3 linked regions of the Alligator mississippiensis genome follow. Each later gene encodes a partner of the first gene's protein in a complex. Links are inferred from orthologs where the notes say so. Each region holds a gene or a part of one and is shown on either strand. Other genes may lie near its edges.

The links. The genes of interacting proteins can lie anywhere in the genome.
Region 2: MEAF6 (region 1) and KAT6A share a complex: the UniProt entries of both Homo sapiens proteins name them as parts of the MOZ/MORF complex. The link is inferred for Alligator mississippiensis from reciprocal best matches to the Homo sapiens genes MEAF6 and KAT6A.
Region 3: MEAF6 (region 1) and BRPF1 share a complex: the UniProt entries of both Homo sapiens proteins name them as parts of the MOZ/MORF complex. The link is inferred for Alligator mississippiensis from reciprocal best matches to the Homo sapiens genes MEAF6 and BRPF1.

What each region holds. Positions count from the first base shown.
Region 1 is NC_081829.1:903,549-910,786, forward strand, and holds the start of MEAF6 (chromatin modification-related protein MEAF6), read right to left. Parts: upstream 3,014-7,238; 5' UTR 2,975-3,013; coding exon 2,876-2,974; intron 2,628-2,875; coding exon 2,512-2,627; intron 2,254-2,511; coding exon 2,166-2,253; intron 1,479-2,165; coding exon 1,433-1,478; intron 528-1,432; coding exon 335-527; intron 1-334.
Region 2 is NC_081830.1:17,273,580-17,281,138, forward strand, and holds the start of KAT6A (histone acetyltransferase KAT6A), read left to right. Parts: upstream 1-4,543; 5' UTR 4,544-4,640; intron 4,641-5,203; exon of another isoform or gene 5,204-5,223; intron 5,224-5,503; 5' UTR 5,504-5,555; intron 5,556-5,669; 5' UTR 5,670-5,837; coding exon 5,838-6,440; intron 6,441-7,559. UniProt on the Homo sapiens protein: Histone acetyltransferase that acetylates lysine residues in histone H3 and histone H4 (in vitro). Component of the MOZ/MORF complex which has a histone H3 acetyltransferase activity. May act as a transcriptional coactivator for RUNX1 and RUNX2.
Region 3 is NC_081835.1:444,847-451,807, forward strand, and holds the start of BRPF1 (peregrin), read left to right. Parts: upstream 1-3,945; 5' UTR 3,946-4,189; coding exon 4,190-4,785; intron 4,786-5,764; coding exon 5,765-6,724; intron 6,725-6,961. Other genes in the region: CPNE9 (copine-9), read left to right, coding at 158-261, 342-446, 651-692, 1,030-1,105, 1,219-1,272, 1,453-1,514, 1,742-1,788, 2,051-2,232 and 5 more. UniProt on the Homo sapiens protein: Scaffold subunit of various histone acetyltransferase (HAT) complexes, such as the MOZ/MORF and HBO1 complexes, which have a histone H3 acetyltransferase activity.

The sequences.
Region 1 (7,238 bases):
CTGTCCTAACAGAGCTGGGGCTGAAATCAGGGACTCCTTCCTGCCACTCCCTGGCTCAGGCCACTAGTTTACCTGCTTCCAAGGGCCTCTCCCTCTTGGCCCCAGCCCTGAGGAACCCCAACAGGCCTCCTCAGGCCCACTGAAGGCACCTAACAGCTTCTTCCCACTGCCTTGGAGACTGGCAGGAAAGTGATGTCAGCCTGTCACCCCGGCCAACCAGCAGCCCGTCCCTCCCGCTGCTCTAACACACGTGGCTATTCCACGGGACAAAGCCTGTTTGACAACCAACCCCCGCGGCTCGGAGGGCCTGCCATGGGCTGCTGGCACCACTAACCTGTGTCGGTTTTTGTTCTTCCGTTTTTTGTGGCTGCTGTGGTGACTCCCCGAGGAAGTGGAGGAAGCAGCTTTCTGGGGCTTCACGCCCTGCACAGACCCATCCAGATCGTCGGCATCCTCCTGGCTGGGCTCGTTCTCCTGATTGTGGAAGTCTGGAGAAGTGTCGCTCTCTGTCCCACTGCCCGGCTCCCCTAAAACGCAACAAACCCAGGAGAGCACAGCTGTTAATTCCCAGCTGTTCAGCTCCAAGACAGACCTCGAGTGCCCAAGCCAGGTCCCAAGGAACAGGAGCAAACCCCATCAGCACAGGGCACAGGGCAGCCTCAGGGGGCCGTGGACGTTCTCTAGTGCGCAGCACACTGCTGGAGCAGGACAAGTTACCCCCTGCAAGAGGCATGCTGCAGGCAACCCCGGGCAAACTCCGGAAGCAGGAACAACCCCAGAATGCATTTACTGCATGCCGCATCCTATAGCAGGGGCAGCAAAATGCCCTAAGCACTGGAGAAAGAAAACTATTAGAATTAGACCAGGCAGGAAGTCAGCGCTACGGCTGGAACGCTGCCCTCCCCCAGCCCCTCTGATCAGCCAGGAACGCACCTGAAGCGAATGAATGCGAAAAAAGAATAAAAATAACTCAACCTTTAGGTCACACAGGCGGGGGCAGACCAGGCAAACACAGGAGGGAAGGTGTGAAGTCCCACGAACCTCACACCGGCTCCAAGCACACGGCTCCAGTGGCAACTACGCAAAGCCTGACCCTGGACTCTTACCTCCCCCCATCACCAAAGCCACGCACGTCTCGTGCACAGAAAGCTTTAAGATGGACACAAAACTAACCTCCCTTTTTTTGGAAGGGAATCGCGCTGTAATTTCACTGCAAGCATTACTTATGGCGACAGAATTGGGAGCAGTGGAACTACTGGGGTACGGAGACCCCCCCGACGCGCACACACACGTGCAACAGGGCTAGAGGCAGGGAAGCGACCGCAAGCGTCGGAAGCAGCAAGCACCGCAGGGAGGAGCCCTCTTTCCAAAGCAAACGGTTTCCTTCTTTCCACCTCAGTCACGCAGAGACGGGTAACAGGCAGCTACTTACGCTTCTCAATGAGCTGGTCTTGAACTCCGGCCAACGCGCTGACGGCCTACAAAACCAGAGGGGACACTTATGGAGACGGATTCCCATTGATCACGTTTTACTGAAACACGCGCAAGGCACTTTCCAGATGGAGAGAGAGAGAGATGATCTCTGCCTCCAGGAACTGCCAGCTGAACGGCAATACAGCAGGGCCAGAGAGGGACTCGCACAGGAGGAGAGCGGGAAGGACAGGCGTGCAAGGCACGAACGTTTCCTGCTTGTCCTGCTCCCTCCCCCTTCACTTCTCCTGGGCGCCGTGGCAGGTGTGAGCGTGCGAGGGAGACTGCATGAAAGGAAACTCGGAGACGCTTGTGAGAGGGGGACAGGGATGGACACCGCTGTGCTGCCCTCGCCGCACACAGCAGGAGGGCACGGCACGGACTGCGGCAGGACTTGCCAGCTATCGAGCTAGAAGTGCCGTAAGGGCAGGGGGAGGAACGGTCACCCCAGGTCTGCCCTCGGTCAGTCCCGGGGAAAGCCGAGCAAGCAGGCGGCTAAGGGAACAACCGGGGAAACTGAGAAGAGCAGTTCAGAGCCACCTGGAAGCAAGGAGAAGAGCGAGACGTGACAGAGGGGACCGTGCGCAGCCCGGCTGCAGCTGCCGCGCGGCGTTCGGGGGGCAAGCTCGGGGCTGAGGCTGGCGTGGCGCGGCGCGGCGCACCGCCCCGTCACGCTGTGTGCACGCGGTACTCACGGCTGCCGAGGTGACCGAAGACTTGCTGAAGAGTCGCTCGGCTTCCTTGAACTTCCGGTTGCGTCGGTCGTTCTTGCTGTTGGAGTTCCTGAAAGACAGCGCGCGCGCTCACTGCGCCGCCCCCCACCCCGCCCCGCCTCGCCCCGCCTCGAGGGGCGTCCCCGGCACCGCGCCCGCTCGCCATCCTAAGGGCTGCGCTTGCTGCGCGCAAGGAAGAGCACGCCGAGACCCCGGCGCCAGGAGTGCCTTTCGCACCTTCCTAGCGCTGCCGGGTCCGGAGGGAGCGCGGCGCTCGGCGCTGGGCCGTCCCAGCAGCCGGCCCGACCGGCCCCGACCGCGCACTCACTTCTGGTTGGTGAGGTAGCGGTCCCAGCCGCGGATGATGTTCCCGTACATCTGGGTGTCCTCCAAGTAGCTGCCCTCGAAGGCGTAGATCTGCCGCTCCAGGTTGGCCAGCGTCTCCTGCGCGGGAAAGGGCACAACCAGAGCGGGCGCTACAGCCGCCGGCGCCTGCACGCGGGGCCGGGGGAGCGGCCACCCCGGCGGTCCCGAGCCCCCGCGGGCAGCCGGGGCCGGGGCCGGGGCATGGGCCCACCCACCCCGCGCTGAGCCTCCTCCTGGCCCCGCCCCACGCCCCCATCCCCCACCCCCACGCCCACGCCCCCGCGTCGGGCCAGGCCGGGCCGGGCCGGGCCGGGCCGGGCGCGCACCGCCAGCTCCTGCTTGCGCTTGACGAGCTCGGCCAGCTCGCGCCGCGTGTCCGGGATCTGCGGGGGGCCGCCCGCCTTCGGCTGCAGCGCCGCCATCATGGATCCGCCGCGCCGCGCCGCCCCCTCCGCCCGGACACGCCCCCTCGCCCGCCCTATTTATCCCGCAGCGCCCCGGCGGCAGCCGCCTGCGCGCGCACCACGCCTGCGTGTGCGCGCGCACCGCTGAGCTGGACACACTCACACACACACTCACACTCTCTCCCCCCTAGTGTGCCGCACTAGGCTCACGTCTACAAACGCTACCTTTAACTAAAAAAACCCCAAGCAAACCAAAAGCCCCAAACCACACGCACACATCCTCGTGGGCGCTAGGGTTTGCCAGCTGTCGCTAGCGCCCTGACGCCGCGTCTGTAAGCACACGCGTGTGCGCGGGGCCAGGCCCACGGGTTTGGGTACAAGTCGTGTTTCTGGTGTGGTCGGGGGGGAGAAGGGCGCAGCAGCGTCCCTGGGGGTGCCCGGGTCAGCCCTCGCAGGACGCACGGCCGCTGCCTGGGGCGGCGAGGGCAGCCGGCCGGTGGGTCGCCCACAGCGGTGGTCCAGCGCCGTGGCCGCGCCGTCTCTGACCTGCGGTCCAGAGGCTGGGTGTGTACAGGGCGGCTGCGACGCGGCTGGTGCTGCCTCGGGCCGGACGCGACCTCTGGAGCTCCCTGGCAGCCCCGCGGCTCCCGGCTTCGCGCTCGGGCTAGAAGGGGCCGTGCAGCTGTAGGAAGAGCCAACCCGCTCTGAAGGCGGCGCGAGGAAACGTGCAGCAGCTGCAGGGATGGTTTCTATCCGGTTTTAATCCGAACACGCAGCAGTTGCGGTGCGATTACCAGTGTGGACAGAGCTAAGTGCGCGGCGCTGGTCCCAAGCAAGAACACCTGGGGGCGGGGGCGGGGGCGATGGGACTGCATCCCCTGCAGCAAAATCACCCCTGCTCCGCAGGAGAAGGATGAGAGGCGACCTTGTGGCTGCCTGTAAGTTCATCACGGGGGCACAGAAGGGAATTGGTGAGGTTTTATTCACCAAGGCGCCCCCGGGGGTTACAAGAAACAATGGCCACAAGCTAGCAGAGAGCAGATTTAGACTGGACATTAGGAAGAACTTCTTCACAGTTCGAGTGGCCAAGGTGTGGAACGGGCTCCCAAGGGAGGTGGTGCTCTCCCCTACCCTGGGGGTCTTCAAGAGGAGGTTAGATGAGCATCTAGCTGGGGTCATTTAGACCCAGCACTCTTTCCTGCCTATGCAGGGGGTCGGACTCGATGATCTATTGAGGTCCCTTCCGACCCTAACATCTATGAATCTATGAAGCACGGGCCAGGTCTTGGACTCGGGCTTGTTAAAGGCCCCTGGTTGCTGACCATGGAGCAGCAGTACTGAAGTCCGCATCCCGCAGCAGAGATGGTTTCCTGCACTCACTCGCTCTCAACTTTTTGGACTTGAGGCACCCTGGGAAGATGCCAGCTCTTCCTTTTCACTCTTTTTGGCCTGCAGAAAAATAAGAGAGCTGTTTTTTTTCTGGTGCAAAGATGTCAGAAAGCACAGCTGTGGCTTTGCTTGAGCTCTCTGGGTTGCGTGGCCCCCCTGGACGGATCTCAAGGTACTTCACACTCACTGAGCATCACCGCGCCAGCTGGTCCCGTTACCTCACCTGCAGGTTTCCCATCTGTCTGCTCTCTAGCCTGCTCCTGCCTTGCTCTTCCCAGCTGTTCTCTGAAGCCCAGGGGCCACCTCAACTCCCACCTCTCTCAACTCACTCGGACACCATCCACCGCCCCAGGTGGAAGGGCGTGGAAAGATTTCACCTATTAAAACATATGTTCAGTGGTGCTCCTCATCTCCGCCAAGGTACAAAGAGACAGGTTAGACGAGTATCTAGCTGGGGTCATCCAGACCCAGCACTCTTTCCTGCTTATGCAGGGGGTCGGACTCAATGATCTATTGAGGTCCCTTCCAACCCTAACATCTATGAATCTATGAATAGGTGTGAGCTTGTTTGTTCAGTACCTAGCACAGTAGAGCCCTAATCCAGACTAGGGTCTCTGCAGCGTGAATAATAACACCCTTGTATTTGCCTTGTTGTTGATACCATTCAATCATAACCATTTAAAACTAAATTATAGAATTTTAATTTAAAATTAGTTCTATACATGTCACTTGATACAAACAACATACATTGGGAGCATACTGTATGCCAGATAATGTGCCATTCATAGCAAGATGTACACACAACCATTCAAGGAGGATACAACTGGCGCGCATTTCCGCATACTGTAGCAAAACAAAAGCTTTTCTGTAGGCAAAATTTGATTTCAAATGGAAAAAACATTACAAAATATACATGCTTGTGCTGCTTAGGGTTAGAGTTGGCAACCAAACAGAACTACCTTAGAGATCATTTTAAAAAGTACGCGTTGTTAGTCCATTTGACATAAAACAAAGAGGTGATGTTTGAAGCAATGCTTTAAATCGCCAATGGCAAATGCTTGAAATGGAGCATCAGACTGTATTGGCAGTTACCGAGTTGGCACGTGCCCTGACAGGGACAAGTCTAGCTCATACAAAAACAAGAGCAGGGAGATGGAAAGAATTACCGCAGCAGGACAATGCGAAGGCCCAGTCTTGCAAACACCTAAGCACACCAGCTGCATAACACTATGCAAAGTGAGGACTGTAGGTATGTGCTCAAGTATACGTAGAATGACAGCTTACGTGTTCGGGACCCAACATCGGGAGCCCGTGAGATTTTATACTGAAAAATAAGGCAAGAAAAGCACTTGATTCTATTTGGGACGTTGCATTACAGCTAAAAATAGGGCTTTGGTTTTTATCACCACTCTCAACATTGGTGTACTGCAGGCCCTGAACTCCACCAGAACCAGCCACTTCGATCTAGTCTTAAATATCCCAGTGCAGGACAGCAATACCAGAATGGTAGTTTTGTGCTATTGTACACAGTGGTCGTCAAGTCAGAAAAGGATTGTTCACAAAATAACATGGTACATCGTCTAGTGAAATTCCTAAATCTAGTACTGTACACTTACATTGTTTCCAGCCCCAGGACTGGACACTGATTCAGCATGAAGCCAGTCAATACAGGGTCACAGTTGAGCAACTTATTTAGGACGTGTACAACAAAAAAGGAAACAAAGTCAAAAGAAGTATGAAAAGTCCTTTTTGGATTAGACAGCAGTCTCCTTCCCCTTTATAACACAGCCATGAATCTGTAAGCTCTGTGCCACTTTTGGGAATGAGTAATGTATTCAAACAGGTTACGTTCATTAACAAGACAGCAGTGCTGAGCTACATTAAGTTTTACGCGTTCTGGTTTTTTCCTAATGAGACAGAAATCTTCAGCCAATCTTTAAAAATTTAAGATCAATTTAAATATGCTGATGATACCTGCTGGAGGAAAAGGTTTAGAGGAAACGGCTCATTTTTCACGGTGCCATGGGTCAGCCATTTCGACCGTCCTCGGTGGGCATGCCTACATTCCAGAACACATCAAGCAGCACAACCAGAAATCAGACATGGGATGTGCGGTTCGCTGGGTGTAGCCACCACACTAGGGCAGAAGCCACATATTGGTCTCCCCCTCTCCGCTTTGCTGCATTTTCACATGTGTCCAGGTAGGTTCCGACATGACAAAGCTGATGTCTTTGGTGACCATAGTACCCAGAAGGCAAACACATGACAAAAGAACCAACAGGCAATACAGTGCTCACAGGATACAGACACCAGAACCTGGCAATTTTGGGGGTTGCCAAAGGGCAAGAGTGAGAGGTCCTACCCAGCCTTATGAGAAGTGTGCCCGGTGCTGGTCTGGGCTAGGGTAATGAGGTACAAACACCCCTTTTTCCAAGTGTACACACACACACACACACACACACACACACACACACACACACAGAGGATATGGCGCTGCAAGACGTGAAGTCACAGGAATGCCATTTGTCAAGACAGATCTCATCTCATCACCCTGGTAGTTCAGTTTCCATGAAGAGACAGTACTACAGCAACAACACATTCTTTTGATTAGCAAGGGACGCAAGTGTTCCTGCTCAACCACACATCTCTCTCCCGCTCTTCCTTGCTAATGTAACAGTGACAGACAATGTATATGCTTTATATTAGCTTTTCCCCTCTCCATCTTTGTATTCAAAGGATTTCCTTTAAAATATATATTATATCGATTTAAGGGAATATAAAGAAAAACCAGCATGGACACTAGAAAAATGTTACAGCTAAAAGCAGGTAGGGCAAAATTTACAAAAGTTCTTTATTTAAAAACCCCAGAGCGTATAAAGGTGATCCCACTATTCAA
Region 2 (7,559 bases), on another chromosome or scaffold:
ATTGTTAGTTAACACAGGGTGCAAAACACAAACAGCAACAAAGAAACAGACCAACCAGCTAACCCAACCCACGCAATTCACGTTCCTCCTTAGATCAGAAAAAATGCCTTTTCATCCAAGTGCCTTATGGCTATCTTGGTTCTTTGGGTAGATGCGATATCTTTTATTAGACCAACTCAAAAGTTGGGGGGGAAAAGTTCTTTGCAAGCTTTTGGGCACAAACACCCTATGTCAGGCCTAGGGAGACTCTGCTGGTGTTGTGTGTAGAAAAGAAGCAAATTTACAACAAGCAGGTCTGTGAAAATGCAAATGAGTGGAAATTAGGAAGACAATGGGTAGAGATGGTGGGGAGGAAGGGAGGGAAATGTGTGGAGGAATGCAAGTGGTCAGCTGGAGGTAGGTTATCTGGGGTGTCAGATGTCAGGCAGGTTGTTAATCCAATGTCTATATTTAGTCCATGATTTTTTGTATCCAGTGGATTTATGAAGGGAAGCTCATGGGATGGTCTACAAAAGGTGTGTTGCAAATTCCCTTATAGCTTCCTTCTCAATATTTGCCCCTAAAGGTAAAAGAGATTATTGCTGCTATTTGTCCCTTCTCAGCTAGTTGGAGAAATAGCTCGATTAGTTTGTAATCTGTTTTTAGGACTGTACGTATGCTTTAAGTGTGAAAAAGTGTGAGGAAGCCAAGCTGAAGAGATAATTTATATTTATTTCTGCTCTATGTGAGAAAATTGGACTTTGTTAAATTGGCAAAGCTAGAAATCTACCCAATTACACAAAAGCTGTATAAAGGTCGCCAACATCTTGGCTCTAAACTGTGAGGCCTGATAGCATTCTTGGCTCAGTATTAATTGCTCTCCAGATCCTTTTTTTAGTCAGTGTCCTGCCAGCAGAGGTAACTTAGGGCTGAATCCACCTGTCATTGAATCCTAGCTATATACTGGCCTTTTGCGGACCCAATCCAGAATATTTTTGTTATGCTAGGTCTTTGAAACTCAGGTGCCTTTCCATCTAATGCCTGGTCCTGTGGTACTGGCTGGCTTCTTAATTTTGTCTTCAAACTCACAGTCTCTTCTGGAGTGTAGATGCATTACTTCAAGTACAACTGATCCAAGAAGCACTGCCAGTAATACTCTATTTGTCACCTCAGAGATAAGGAGGCAGTTGCATCCTACAATAATGGGAACCAGAGGGAGTACCATCTATGTTTAAGTGGCCTAACATAACCCCTGCATTTCTTGCATCTTTCTTTGAGAAGTTCTAGCCTCTCCATTTTTCACATTGAGCCTCTGAAATTCAAGAAAGGGAATCCCTTTGGGTGTAGACCTGTTTTCTTTGTACCTCTAAACAGCATCCAGGTTCAGCTGAATCATAAACTGTTTTTAAAGAGTGCCATTTCCTTCTTTTGCTCATACTCAGCAAAATCATGACTACTTTGCCCCGTTCATGTTGTTCGTGTATCTTCTTCAAAACAAGAAAAAAAGAAAAAAAAAAAAACCCAAATACCTCAAAAGGGTTTTCTTTCGCCTGCAAAAAATATTAATATAAGCTTCTGACTACAATTTCAAGTTAACATGTATGAAAAACCATTTTTTGGGCAAGGGAACAGGTTTCACATTTCAAGCTTGCAGGGAATTATGGAGGAAAGAAGTCGTAGCGATACAATGCAAGATACCTTAAAATCCTTTGAGCAGTTCTGGCCCTTGACAGACGTGAATCTGTTGGGATCTACTTTGAACTATAAACCTTTCAAGAATGTCCCAATCTCCTGCTAGTACCTGCAGAAAGCAATGTGCAGAATTACCCTATTTACTGCTGCAGAAATGCTATCTGGCTGCTTCTGGGCTGTCAGCATGGGGATCATATTTCATTTTGAAAGTAAATAAAAAGCTCTGCCCAGGATTGCTGGAGTTTATATAAACCCGAATTGGAAACTAAAAGGAGAAGAATCCAGCGAAAGATGTTTCTAAAGCAAAAATCAATCTTGCTGGTAAATATAGCAAGACCCAAGGGAACTGGAGGTCAGTGAGGAGCCAGCGCTCAGTTAGAAGGTACATGGGTCTCCAGTGAAAGTTGGATACAACCACAGCCAAGGAGTTAGTCATTTCACAAAACGGTGTTGCCAAACTGTGCATTATCTTGATGGATAAAACAACTTTTTGCCATCTGCAGCATACCATATGCAATGATCCTGCTGGTGTAACTGTCAGATTGTGCTTTGAAAATGGAACAGAAAGAAAGGCAAACAGACAGTATTGGATTTCTGAAAAAAATCCTAATTTCTAAACGATATAACCTTGAACAGTTTACAATTTGCTAGCACTGAGTGACATAGCATGATGGTCCAGGAAATAGGGAAGAGGGAAGGATTTTTGCTGGTGACACCTTTGACTGACCTAGTTGCACAGGCAGAATAGACTTAACTAAGCTTTCAAATGCAATGCGTTCTTCTTTGCATCATAATTTGCTGCTGGTTAAATAATCCTAATATGACTTTTAAAACAGACAAAAAAGTCCAGCAGCTGAGGAGGAAGTTTTAACTTAGTATCATACTTGCATAAGCAATTCTCAGTTTTACTTTATTTTACCCTCATTAGCTCCTGGAAATGAACTTCAGCTCTTCATTACCTCCCATGCACTCAGCACCACAGCTATAATTCAGGGACATGGGGACCCAAACAGGAAGGGGGGAAATGATGAACGTAATAGGGACTCTGAAACCTTTAGGAACAGAGACAGAAACAATTGCTACAGGGATCTTTACATGCTGATGTCAAGCTGCCATCTGCATTTTTCTCTAGGCAGAGACTGAGCAACCAGGATTCTCCTCTGTCCCAATTAACAGTTTACTCCAGCACCCTCCTTCCTGTTCATTCCGCTTCCTCACCTCAGTCTAAGGCAAGAAACCACAGGGGTGGGATGGGGAGCATAAAAAAAGTAAGTCTACAAGAGTACTTTACCAATTCCCCGTCTCCAAAGAGATTAGAAAGTTTGTGCAAAGATGATCCAATCCAAAACTAGACACAACATTCATCCGGGAAGTTCCTGGTGAAATTGTGTGGCTACTGGCCATAGCCTGTTTGCACAGGACTGTACCTTGCACATGTAATCAAAACCAACAGCTAGATCTGAAATAAGAAAAGCTTTCAGAGCTGTCACTTGCAGCCCAAGCAACACTGAACAAGCAGATCAAACGTTATCTAGAGCAAACGGTGCGAATCCAGTGAAACAAGAATTTCTTGGTACCAACAAAGTTTCAGCCCCAAGCTCAGGTCACTCCAGGTACTCCCACGAAGGAGCTCTCTTTGCTTGCACAGAAGCCGGGGGTCTTCAACGAGGCTCTGTATGGACACAGTCACCCACGAGGATCTTACTGAAGCATTGTCCCCAGTTTGTATGTAGGTCTGGAGTCTTTCCAGTGGAAAGGGATTTGCAATTTGGCAAGATCTCAGTTCGTAGTGGATTAGCAATAAAACAGTTTTAAATGTGTACACTCAGCAAAGAGGTTTGAGTTAGAAAGCATCTCCAAAACATGCGTCGTTGTGACCGCTATTCTACGCCACCTCCACCAAAACCCTGTTTGGGGGGGGGGTCCTTATGGTCTCCGAGAGCTAGATATTCTCCACCCTGCACGAAACTAAGAGCTGTCAGTATTGCTCCCCTTGCTCTCTGGGGAGTTGCACACTAAGAAATGTCTCGCCCAGAACGTGGTACGCTATTTCACGAGTTCAGAACTGGACGCAAGGTACAATTAGGGATCGGACACAAACCGTACACCTACTCAGAGAAGATCCTCTGAAGACAGAAGAGGACCCGCAGTCGACAGAAGAGCGCGACTGCCAATCTCGAGGATCCTGGAGAACTTGGACAACCTTTTCTCCGACGCCTCGCGAAGGGTCAAACGTTATCTAGGGCGAATGGTTCGAATCTGGTGAAACAAGGATTTCTCGGTACCAACAAAGTTTCAGCCCCAAGCCCGACAGCTTGCAATCAAACCATTTTTTGGGGTGGGGGTTTTTTTTGGCGAAAATCTCGGCGGTCTCGTAAAAGCTCTCATCTCTACGCTGGGTGACCGCTTAAAAACGCCGCGCACGAACTTGCCCATCCGAAGCGCGAGAAACCACGCCGCAAGCCGAGGTCGACGCGGGAACTCCCCGAGTCCAGGGTCCCAAACTGGCGCGGTCCCCAATGCGGGACCGGCGAAGGGTGTCACTCGCCAAGAAGCATCCGCATGGCTCTTTTGGGGCCGGTCGGTGCAACACCAGGCAGCCGGCCCGGCCGTGTCCTCCCGCGGCTGCCACCTGCTCCCGATGCAAGGATGTGTCCGGGCACAAAGAGAGGCAGCCTGGGGGTAAAGGCGATGCAGCGGTGACACCGTCCGGGCGCTGGGGCAGACCTGCCCCCTACCCCTGGCCGCGGGCGCTGGGACGGAGCCCGCCGTGTCCCCGGCCCTGTCCCTGTCCCTGTCCCCGGCCCGGCTGTTCTAGGCGGCGCGGCCCCGCCCGCCGTGCGCTGTTCCCGCCCGCCGCCGCCCCCCCCCCGCCGCCGCGCTCCGGACCCAAGATGGCCGCCGTGTCAGTTTCGGGCTTCGCCGCCGTCCGGCCGCCGCCGCCCGCCGCCCGCCGCGCGCAGGCCCCGGTGAGTGGCGGCGGGGGGGGCCGCGGGCCGGGCGGCGGGCAGGCGGCGGGGCGGCGGGCGCCGCGGGGGAGGCCGGCCCGGCGCCGCGGGCTCGCGGCCTGCTCCGGCCCCGCCGCCCGCCGCCGCCGCCGCCGCTCTGCGCCAGGCCCGGCCCGCGGCCCCCGCCTCCCGCGCCCGCCTCCCGCCCAGGCCCGGCCGCGCCGCGCCGCGGGGCCGCGGCAGGTGCAGGGCCGGGGGGCGCCGCCCGCCGCCTGGTGCCGAGCCCGCGGCGAGGGGCGGCCGCGCTTTGTCTGCCGCGGGCGGCGAGGCCGGGCACTCGGGGGGCTTCCCGCCCGTGCGGCCGGCGTCCTGTCACCCTCCGCCTCCCGGCCCCAGCCCCGGCGAGGGGACGCCCGCAGGTTTCCGCACAACTTTCTCCGCGCCGCCTTGGCGGGCAGGTGTCGCGGCTGCTTTCGGGACACGAGGAGGGGTGGCCGCGGCGCGCACCCCCCTTTCGCCGCGCGCCCTTTCGTGCCTACACCAGGCACAATGGGGGCGCTTTGGGGTCCGCCGTAAAACCCCGGCCGCAGACAAAAGGCGCCAGGTAGTCTTTCCTCAGTGCGTCGTCCGTCCCGACTCTCTCTGCTTGGGACTCGCCTTGGCTGGGCGGGAACAGCACGGCCTTGTCACCTTCGGCACTCGGTTGTGTCCCTGCACGCAAACGCGGTGTTTTTCTGTTTTCGCGACTTGGCGGTCTCCCGGGGCGGCGAGGGTGGTCTCGGGGAAACTTTGTGAGGCGTCCGTCCGTCCGTAGGATGGCGGAAGTCAGATTTAGGCTTGTGACTTTTTTTGCTCAGAAATTACTCCGTCCCGTTTTCTTGCAGGCGTAACATTCCAGTTCTCTTTCCGATCGCGGTGCGGGAGTCCCGAAGCGAGGTAAGATGTGCTTTGACAGCTTTCCAGCTTTGCCAGGCTTGCCGCGGGAGCGGTGGTGGGATCTGTTGGGAAGCGTGGATCAGCTCCTAATGGGATGTGTTGTGTTTCTTTCAGTTTTAAGAAAATTTAATATTGGATCAAAGAGAAGCAGTTCATATCAGAAACGTGTATGCTATGGTTAGCTGGTTACTCTCCTCCGAGAATCTGTTTTCCCACGGTGTGAAAATTGTGCAGCATCGGGATAAGGGATAACGACTCTATGGATATACAGAAGTCTTCACCATGGTAAAACTCGCCAACCCGCTGTATACTGAGTGGATTTTGGAGGCGATTAAAAAGGTCAAGAAGCAAAAACAACGCCCTTCAGAGGAGAGGATATGCAATGCGGTGTCTTCATCCCATGGTTTGGACCGTAAAACTGTTTTGGAACAACTAGAATTAAGCGTTAAAGATGGGACTATTTTAAAAGTCTCCAACAAGGGTCTCAATTCCTACAAGGATCCCGATAATCCGGGGAGAATAGCACTTCCGAAGCCTCGAAACCATGGCAAGTTGGATGGTAAACCAAACGTGGACTGGAATAAACTGATCAAACGGGCAATCGAGGGCTTGGCGGAGTCCAGTGGCTCATCCTTGAAAAACATAGAGCGCTTTTTGAAAGGTCAGAAGGACGTGTCTGTGTTGTTTGGAGGTAGCGCTGCTTCCGCTTTTCACCAGCAATTGCGACTAGCTGTCAAGCGTGCTGTTGGCCATGGCAGACTCCTTAAAGATGGACCTCTCTACCAGCTCAACACTAAAGCAGTTGCTAATGCTGACGGGAAGGAAAGCTGCGAGTCTCTTTCCTGCCTGCCACCTGTGTCGCTTCTTCCCCATGAGAAGGATAAGGTAAGAGCCTCGGAGCTGACGAAATAGGGTGTAAAGGCTCCAATTTTGAGGTCAGTATTTCATTATGCATCAGATAAGTTGGAAATGGTCTGGGGCCTGTGGTGAATCTTTAAGTGGATGGAGGTTTCTTTTTCTTTCGCATGCTTCTGAAAGTGCTTGAAAATGATCTTGTCCCATTCACTTTCAGACTCAGTGCAGGGGAGTTCGTAGCCACTTTCAAAAAGCATTTCCATTTCCTTTTTTTTAATTTTATACATACGAGTCCTTAGTGCCTCTCGGATTACTTTGACACTTCAGGCAGAGCACTTGGCTGTGGCCTAGCCAGATCTGAGGCTTGGAAGACTGCAGGGTATATAGATATGTGTTCTAATACTCATTTTCTATCACTTTTTGCCATTACTGAAGATCCATGGAGGGTTATGACGGTAAGATGGTGTAGACCACAGCATTGCCCTTTGCAGGACAAAAGAATATAGGCCTGTGCTGAGCACCTTTCAGTGACACTACAGGTAAAAAGCCAGCAGCTTCTTCATACAGTTGCTTGGTTATCGCATCGAGCATTACTAGAGCCTGTAGCTTTTGTTACCAGACCAGTGTAATCAAACTTTTTTGTGACAAGACCTAATGCTGATAGAAATGGAACCGGTGGTGGTAGCAGTAGGAAAATACTATTAAATAAAATCTTGATGTCAACACAACCTGAGAGCAAGACTAGTCATTAGAAATAGCTTTACACTCATTCTACTGTATGCACCCATTCATTTAGTCTGATCATTACAAGGGGGTGTCCTTACGATGAGGTGGGATACCAAAAATCCTGTCCCTTTCTGTACTCCTCAAGTATGCTTCCGTGCAAAACAGCAATTTTAAAATTTTGGTCAAGATTTTAAAGTGCGTGTATGTGTGTGTGTGCATGTTTGTGCGCACACATCCCCATTCACCTCAAACATCAGATATTGTTGCATTTCCTGGTAGCTACTCAGATTTGGAAGGAACTCCACGAATATTCAAAACATATAAAGAGTATTAGAAACAGTGTGCTGTGTTGAGTCGTTTCTTCTGTGACTCTCGCCCTGTTCATAAAATGTAAGGTCATATAGCTGTTTACTGTCATGTTAA
Region 3 (6,961 bases), on another chromosome or scaffold:
CAGCCCCATGCTGCCCTGCACAGCCCCCACCTTGGCCCAGCTGGAGGGGCCAGGCCTAGAGGGCAGGGCCTGGGGAAGCCCAGGTGTGACAGGGCCAAGGTGGGCGGGGGGGGCGTGAGCACGGACTGCCCTGGCACTGACTGGCCTCTGCCCACAGGACGTGGTCACCATGCAGCTGTGCGCCAACAAGCTGGACAAGAAGGATTTCTTCGGGAAGTCGGACCCCTTCCTTGTCTTCTACCGCAGCAACGAGGATGGCACGTACGTGGGGACCAAGCCGGGCTGGACCAGGGGGCTCCCCGCGCAGCCGCTCTCAGCCCACCCCTCTGCTGCTCCTACAGGTTCACCATCTGCCACAAGACGGAGGTGGTGAAGAACACGCTCAATCCTGTGTGGCAGCCGTTCACCATCCCTGTGCGAGCCCTGTGCAACGGGGACTACGACAGGTTGGTCAGGGCCTGCACCTCCCACCCCCGCGCCCCAGCAGCACGTGCTCCCTGCGGCTCGCGCCAGGCCCAGCGAGCACCCGCAGTTGTGCAGACGCAGCCCTGCCCAGGCGGGATGGGTGCGTGGTGCCCGGGGCTGAGAGGATGGACAGCATTGTGCTGGGGGCCGATGCCCGCTCACCGTGGCTGGCTCCTCTGTTCCAGGACAGTGAAGATCGACGTGTACGACTGGGACCGAGATGGCAGGTGAGGCGTCCCCAGGGCCCTGCTGTCTGGCAGGCTGCAAGCAGCTGCACGAGCCCTGCTGTGCCCACAGGCCTGCTCTTGCCCACCCGTGGCCCTTGGGCCTCCTGTTGGGAGCTGCCCTTGGCAGCATGTCCCGGCTCCAGCACCACAGCCCTGCCCGCTGAGCCTGGGCAGGGCAGCCTCCGCTTCCATCTCCCGGGGAGCATGGGGCTGGGCGTCGAGCCGAGACACCCGGGCTCATCTCACGTGGGGGTGGAGAGGAGCTGCGTGCAGGGCTGGGTCTGGCCTGGCCCAGGGGCTGTGGGTCACTCCCCTTGCACAACCGCTTTGCCCCCAGCCACGACTTCATTGGGGAGTTTGCCACCAGCTACCGGGAGCTCTCCCGCGCCCAGAGCCAGTTCACGGTCTATGAGGTGAGGCCGTGGGCATGGGGCAGGGAGGCAGGAAGGGCTGGGGGTGGCTTTGGGGCAGGCCTGGGGGTGCATGGAGCTGGGGGGGCTGGTGCCTGACCACCCCTCTAAACCAGGTGCTGAACCCCAGGAAGAAATGCAAGAAGAAGAAATACGTCAACTCGGGAACTGTGAGTGCCCCCCGCTCTGCTTAGCCAGGCTGTGCCCCCCCCAAATCCAGCTCCCCGCCTCGGGTCCGGGGCCTGCCCGCGTGCCTGGTGCTCCAGGGAGGACAGGGCTCTCTGGGGAGCCTGTAGGTCACCTGGGCGGGGGCCGCCGGGTGTTTGCAGTCCTGACCCCTTCCCCCGCAGGTGACCCTGCTCTCCTTCTCCGTGGAGTCCGAGTTCACCTTTGTGGATTACATCCGTGGCGGGTGAGTGGCTGTGGCTCCGAGGCAGCCCGGCTTCCTGCTGCCCCCGTGCTCCGAGCGAGCTCTTGGTCGAGCGCCCGCAGGCCCGGGGGCCGAGCACGACTCCCCACAGCCAGGGGCCGCAGGGCTGGATGGGGCCCGGCCGAGAGCGGCAGGAGATGTAGGGGAAGGAGGGGGCTGGTGGTCCAGATGCCTGTGGGGGGCCGGGGCTAGACTCTCCCCCCCCACAGGACACAGCTGAATTTCACAGTTGCCATCGATTTCACGGCCTCCAACGGTGAGTGCAGTGCGGCGTGGCAGCCTGGCTGCTGTGGGGACGGGCTCTCCACGTCTGTCCTCGTCCGTCCGTGGGTTCCCAGGCAGCCGGGACGTGGCCCCCGCACACCTGGCCGGGGATGCCCTGGTGCAGGGCAGGGCGCAGCCCCGACACGGGCCCTGGGGCTGCCCCTAACCGGGGTGGGGAGCCCGGGCTTGGGGGCCGTGGGTGGGGTGGGGTGGGGGCAGACTGCCCGGGCTGAGGGGCCACGCGGTGCTGGCAGGGATCCCGTCGCAACCCACGTCCCTGCACTACATGAGCCCGTACCAGCTGAGCGCCTACGCCATGGCGCTGAAGGCCGTCGGGGAGATCATCCAGGACTACGACAGCGACAAGCTCTTCCCTGCTTACGGCTTTGGTGCCAAGGTCCCTCCGGATGGCAGGATCTCCCACCAGTTCCCCCTGGTAGGAGGTGTGATGGTGGGGGGCTTGCGGCGGGAGCCGGGGGCCCTGCTGGGCAGGGAGGGGCCGGGCCCGTCACCTGCGTCCTGCCTCCGGCTCCGCGGCGAATCCCAGGGGGAGGAGGCGCTTCTGGACACGGGCACTGGGGACAGCCTGCGCCTGGCGCCGGTCCAGACGCCCACCTGCGGCCCGTCCCTGGGGGCTGCCACTGCACCCGTGCGCCCACGTGCACGGAGCCCCCTGCACGCACCTGCGAGGTGTGCACGTGCACACGCACACGCAGCTCCCTGCCCTCTGCCCTGGCAGAACAACAACCTCGAGGACCCGAACTGCACAGGCATCGAGGGCGTGCTGGAGGCGTACTTCCAGAGCCTGCGCACCGTGCAGCTCTACGGGCCCACCAACTTCGCCCCCGTCATCAACCAGGTGGCACGGTGAGCGCGGCGGGGGTTGTGGGGCGGGGGCACGGGGCGCGGGGCAGGGCTGCCCGGCACTGCGCTCTCTCTGCCCGCGCAGGTCGGCGGCGCAGGTGACGGACGGGTCGCAGTACCACGTGCTGCTCATCATCACGGACGGCGTCATCTCCGACATGCTGCAGACCAAGGAGGCCATCGTCAGCGTGAGTCTGCCCGGGGCCGGGCCGGGGCGGGGGCCGGGGCTGGGGCACGCTGCCCGGCCGGGGGCGCCTCTCTGGGCGCCCCGTGACGCCGCCTCTGCCCGCAGGCGTCCGCCCTGCCCATGTCCATCATCATCGTGGGAGTGGGCCCGGCCGAGTTCGAGGGTGAGTCGGGCCGGGGCCGGGGCCGGGGCCGGGCGGGCGGGCGGGCCGGGGGCGCCCGGGCGCGCTGACCCGCTGTCCCCGCAGCCATGGAGGAGCTGGACGGGGACGACGTGCGCGTGTCGTCGCGGGGCCGCTCGGCGGAGCGGGACATCGTGCAGGTACCGGGCGGGCGGGCGGGCGGGCCGGGCGGGCGGGCGGGGGCGCGCTGACCGCCTCTCTTGCAGTTCGTGCCGTTCCGGGACTACGTGGACCGCGCCGGGAGCCAGGTGCTGAGCATGGCGCGCCTGGCCCGGGACGTGCTGGCCGAGGTGCCCGAGCAGCTGCTCAGCTACATGCGTGCGCACGACCTGGAGCCGCGGCCCGCGGGCCCCGCCGCGCGCTAGCCCCGCCCCCGCTGTACCGCCCCCGATGCACCGCTGTACCGCGCAATAAACCGCTCCACTGCCGCCGCCGCCACCGCCGCCTGCTTGGGGGGCGGGGCACCGCGCCGCGGGACACCCCCCCCCACACACATGGGCCCGCGCGCATTGGCTGCGCCCGCAGCTTCGACCACGCCCCCGGGCGCTGATTGGCCGCGCCGCAGCGGAGCGGCGTGCCAGCCCCGCCCCCTGGCGCTGATTGGCCACGCAGCAGCGGAGCAGCGTGCTATCCCGGTCCCCGGCCGCTGATTGGCGGAGCCGCGGCGGCCCCGGGCGGGGGCGCCCTCTCGCGCTCCTGGGCCGCGCAGGAGGCGCTTGCGATTCGCCACCGCAGATTCGCCTCGCGCGGCGCGGCCCGGCCCGGCCCGGCCCGGCCCCCCCGCGCCGGCCCCCCCGCGGCCTCCGGGGCGCGGCCCCCCGCGCCGCCGCCGCCCTCGCCGCCGCCCGCCCGCCGCCCGCCGCCCGCGGCGAAAGTGCGGTTGCTAGGGGCCGCGCGGCGCTTTACCCAGCGGCCGCCCCGCGCCAGGCGCCGCCGCCGCCGCCTCCATTGTTCCGGCCCGGCCCGGCCCCGCCGCCCATGGGCGCCCCGGGCCCGCCGCGCAGCGCCGCCAGCCCGTGAGTGCGCGCCGCGCCGCGCCGCGCCCCGCCCCGCCCGCAGTGGGGGCCGCCCGCCTGCCCAGCGCGCGGCCGGGGGCCTTGGCCGGGCAGGGCCGCGGGGCCGGGGCCGGGCGCCGGGCCGGGGGCCCGCGGAGCCGCCGCCATGGGCGTGGACTTCGACGTGAAGACCTTCTGCCACAACCTGCGCGCCACCAAGCCGCCCTACGAGTGCCCGGTGGGCACCTGCCGCAAGATCTACAAGAGCTACAGCGGGATCGAGTACCACCTGTACCACTACGACCACGACAACCCGCCGCCGCCCCAGCACGCCCCGCTGCGCAAGCACAAGAAGAAGGGGCGCCAGGCGCGCGCCGCCAACAAGCAGTCGCCCAGCCCCTCCGAGACCTCGCAGTCGCCGGGCCGCGAGGTGATGACCTACGCGCAGGCGCAGCGCATGGTGGAGGTGGACCTGCACGGCCGCGTGCACCGCATCAGCATCTTCGACAACCTGGACGTGGTGTCGGAGGACGAGGAGGCGCCCGAGGAGGCGCCCGAGAGCGGCAGCAACAAGGAGAACGCGGAGGCGCCGGCCGCCGCGCCCAAGGCCGCCAAGCACAAGAACAAGGAGAAGCGCAAGGACTCCAACCACCACCACCACAGCGCCGCGGCCGGCGCCACGCCCAAGCTGCCCGAGGCCGTGTACCGGGAGCTGGAGCAGGACACCCCCGACGCCCCGCCGCGCCCCACCTCCTACTACAGGTACGCTCCGCGCGGGGCCTGTGCACCCCCGCCGCGCTCACGCCCTGCCCTGCCCTGCCCTGCAGCCTGGTGGCTGCGTTCCCCCCCGCCCCGCCCCGCCCCGCCCCGCGCGCTGCAGGTCTCTGCTCCGTGCAAGCTCTTCTTCTCCGGCTATGACGGGGCAGTGCAGAGATGACTGGCCGTGGCCGAGCGGGTGAGCTGTCTCGGCACCGCGTGGAGGTCAGCGCTGCGAGCTGGCGGGAGCGCTTGCACAGCTCCCTGGGCCCTGCCGTCTCCGCTGCAGAGCACGATGTGGGCGCTGCTCCGGCGCTGCTGGCTGTAGCAGACGCCTCCCCAGCCACGTGTCTGCGCGTGCTGGCAGTTGCTGCGGTGGCAGGCGGCTGCTGCTGCGGCTGCTGCCGCTGGGCAAGGCACCACGACCTCAGACTTTGTGAATAAGTAAATAAATAAATAAAATAAAAACACAAGTAATGCTCTCCACCCACAACTGGCAGGGGAGGAGCAGAGGCAGCTGCCTCTGCCTGGCCGTACGTGGGAGCACCTCCTTTGTCCTCCCGAGTGCCAGGGACACCTGCTGCACAAGCACCGGGACACGAGAACCTGGCACTGCCGTGCCGTGAAACTGAGCGGTGGCCCCAGAGCAGCAACCTCGGGGCTCGCGCAGGTTCCCCACGGTTGTCTTGCATCAGCGAGTGCCCCGTGCTCCCTCCCTCGCAGCTCGGGGAGCGCTGGGTAGTCCAGCTCAGGCGGCGGTGCTGAATTGTGTCGCCACTCTGGTGGGTGCTGGAGAATGGGTGCGAGCTGCAGCGCACCCTGCTTCCCGGGTCCCTTCTCCATCCCTGCTCTTCCTGGGTCACAGCTGCTTTGTGGCTGCCACGATAAAACTCGCCTGGTCTAACCTCTCCCCTCCCTCCCTGAGGTTGGCTGCGTGGGCCTGCACCCATGCTGGGTGCTCATTCCCTCTCCCCTTCTCTTTGAGGTACATTGAGAAGTCAGCTGAGGAGCTGGATGAGGAGGTGGAGTACGACATGGATGAGGAGGATTACATCTGGCTGGACATCATGAATGAGCGGCGGAAGACGGAGGGTGTGAGCCCCATCCCCCAGGAGATCTTTGAGTACCTGATGGACCGGCTGGAGAAAGAGTCCTACTTTGAGAGCCACAACAAGGGGGACCCCAACGCGCTGGTTGACGAGGACGCGGTCTGCTGTATCTGCAACGACGGGGAGTGTCAGAACAGCAACGTCATCCTCTTCTGCGACATGTGCAACCTGGCCGTTCACCAGGAGTGCTATGGCGTGCCCTACATCCCCGAGGGCCAGTGGCTGTGCAGGAGGTGCCTGCAGTCACCCTCCCGGGCTGTGGACTGTGCCCTCTGCCCCAACAAGGGTGGAGCTTTCAAACAGACGGACGATGGGCGCTGGGCACACGTGGTCTGTGCCCTCTGGATCCCAGAGGTGTGCTTTGCCAACACGGTGTTTCTAGAGCCCATCGACAGCATCGAGCACATCCCCCCAGCCCGCTGGAAGCTGACCTGCTACATCTGTAAGCAGCGTGGCTCTGGGGCCTGCATCCAGTGTCACAAGGCCAACTGCTACACTGCCTTCCACGTGACCTGTGCCCAGCAGGCTGGACTCTACATGAAGATGGAGCCTGTCCGCGAGACGGGAGCAAATGGCACCTCCTTCAGTGTGCGCAAGACAGCCTACTGCGACATTCATACGCCCCCGGGCTCCATGCGCCGGCTCCCTGCCCTCTCTCACAGTGAAGGGGAGGAGGAAGACGAGGAAGAGGAAGAAGAGGGCAAAGGCTGGAGTTCGGAGAAGGTGAAGAAGGCAAAGGCCAAGTCCAGGATCAAAATGAAGAAGGCAAGGAAGATCCTGGCCGAGAAGCGAGCAGCAGCACCGGTGGTTTCCGTGCCCTGCATCCCCCCGCACAGGTACGGCCAGGTACCTCCCTCTCCACCCTCTGCCTTGCTGCTTGCAGCTCAGGTGTGGCCCTCGCTTACAGGCGGCCTCACTGTCCCCAGCACTGCCTCTCCCCTCCTCCCCCACACCTACCTTAGCAAGCCCCTGCTGGCTTTGTTCTTGGGTAAGAGCTCGGGCCTACGCCTCTGCTCTGCGCTGTGCTGTGGTGTCATGGAGGTAGCTGGCCTGGAAGAGGCAGGAAGTTGGTG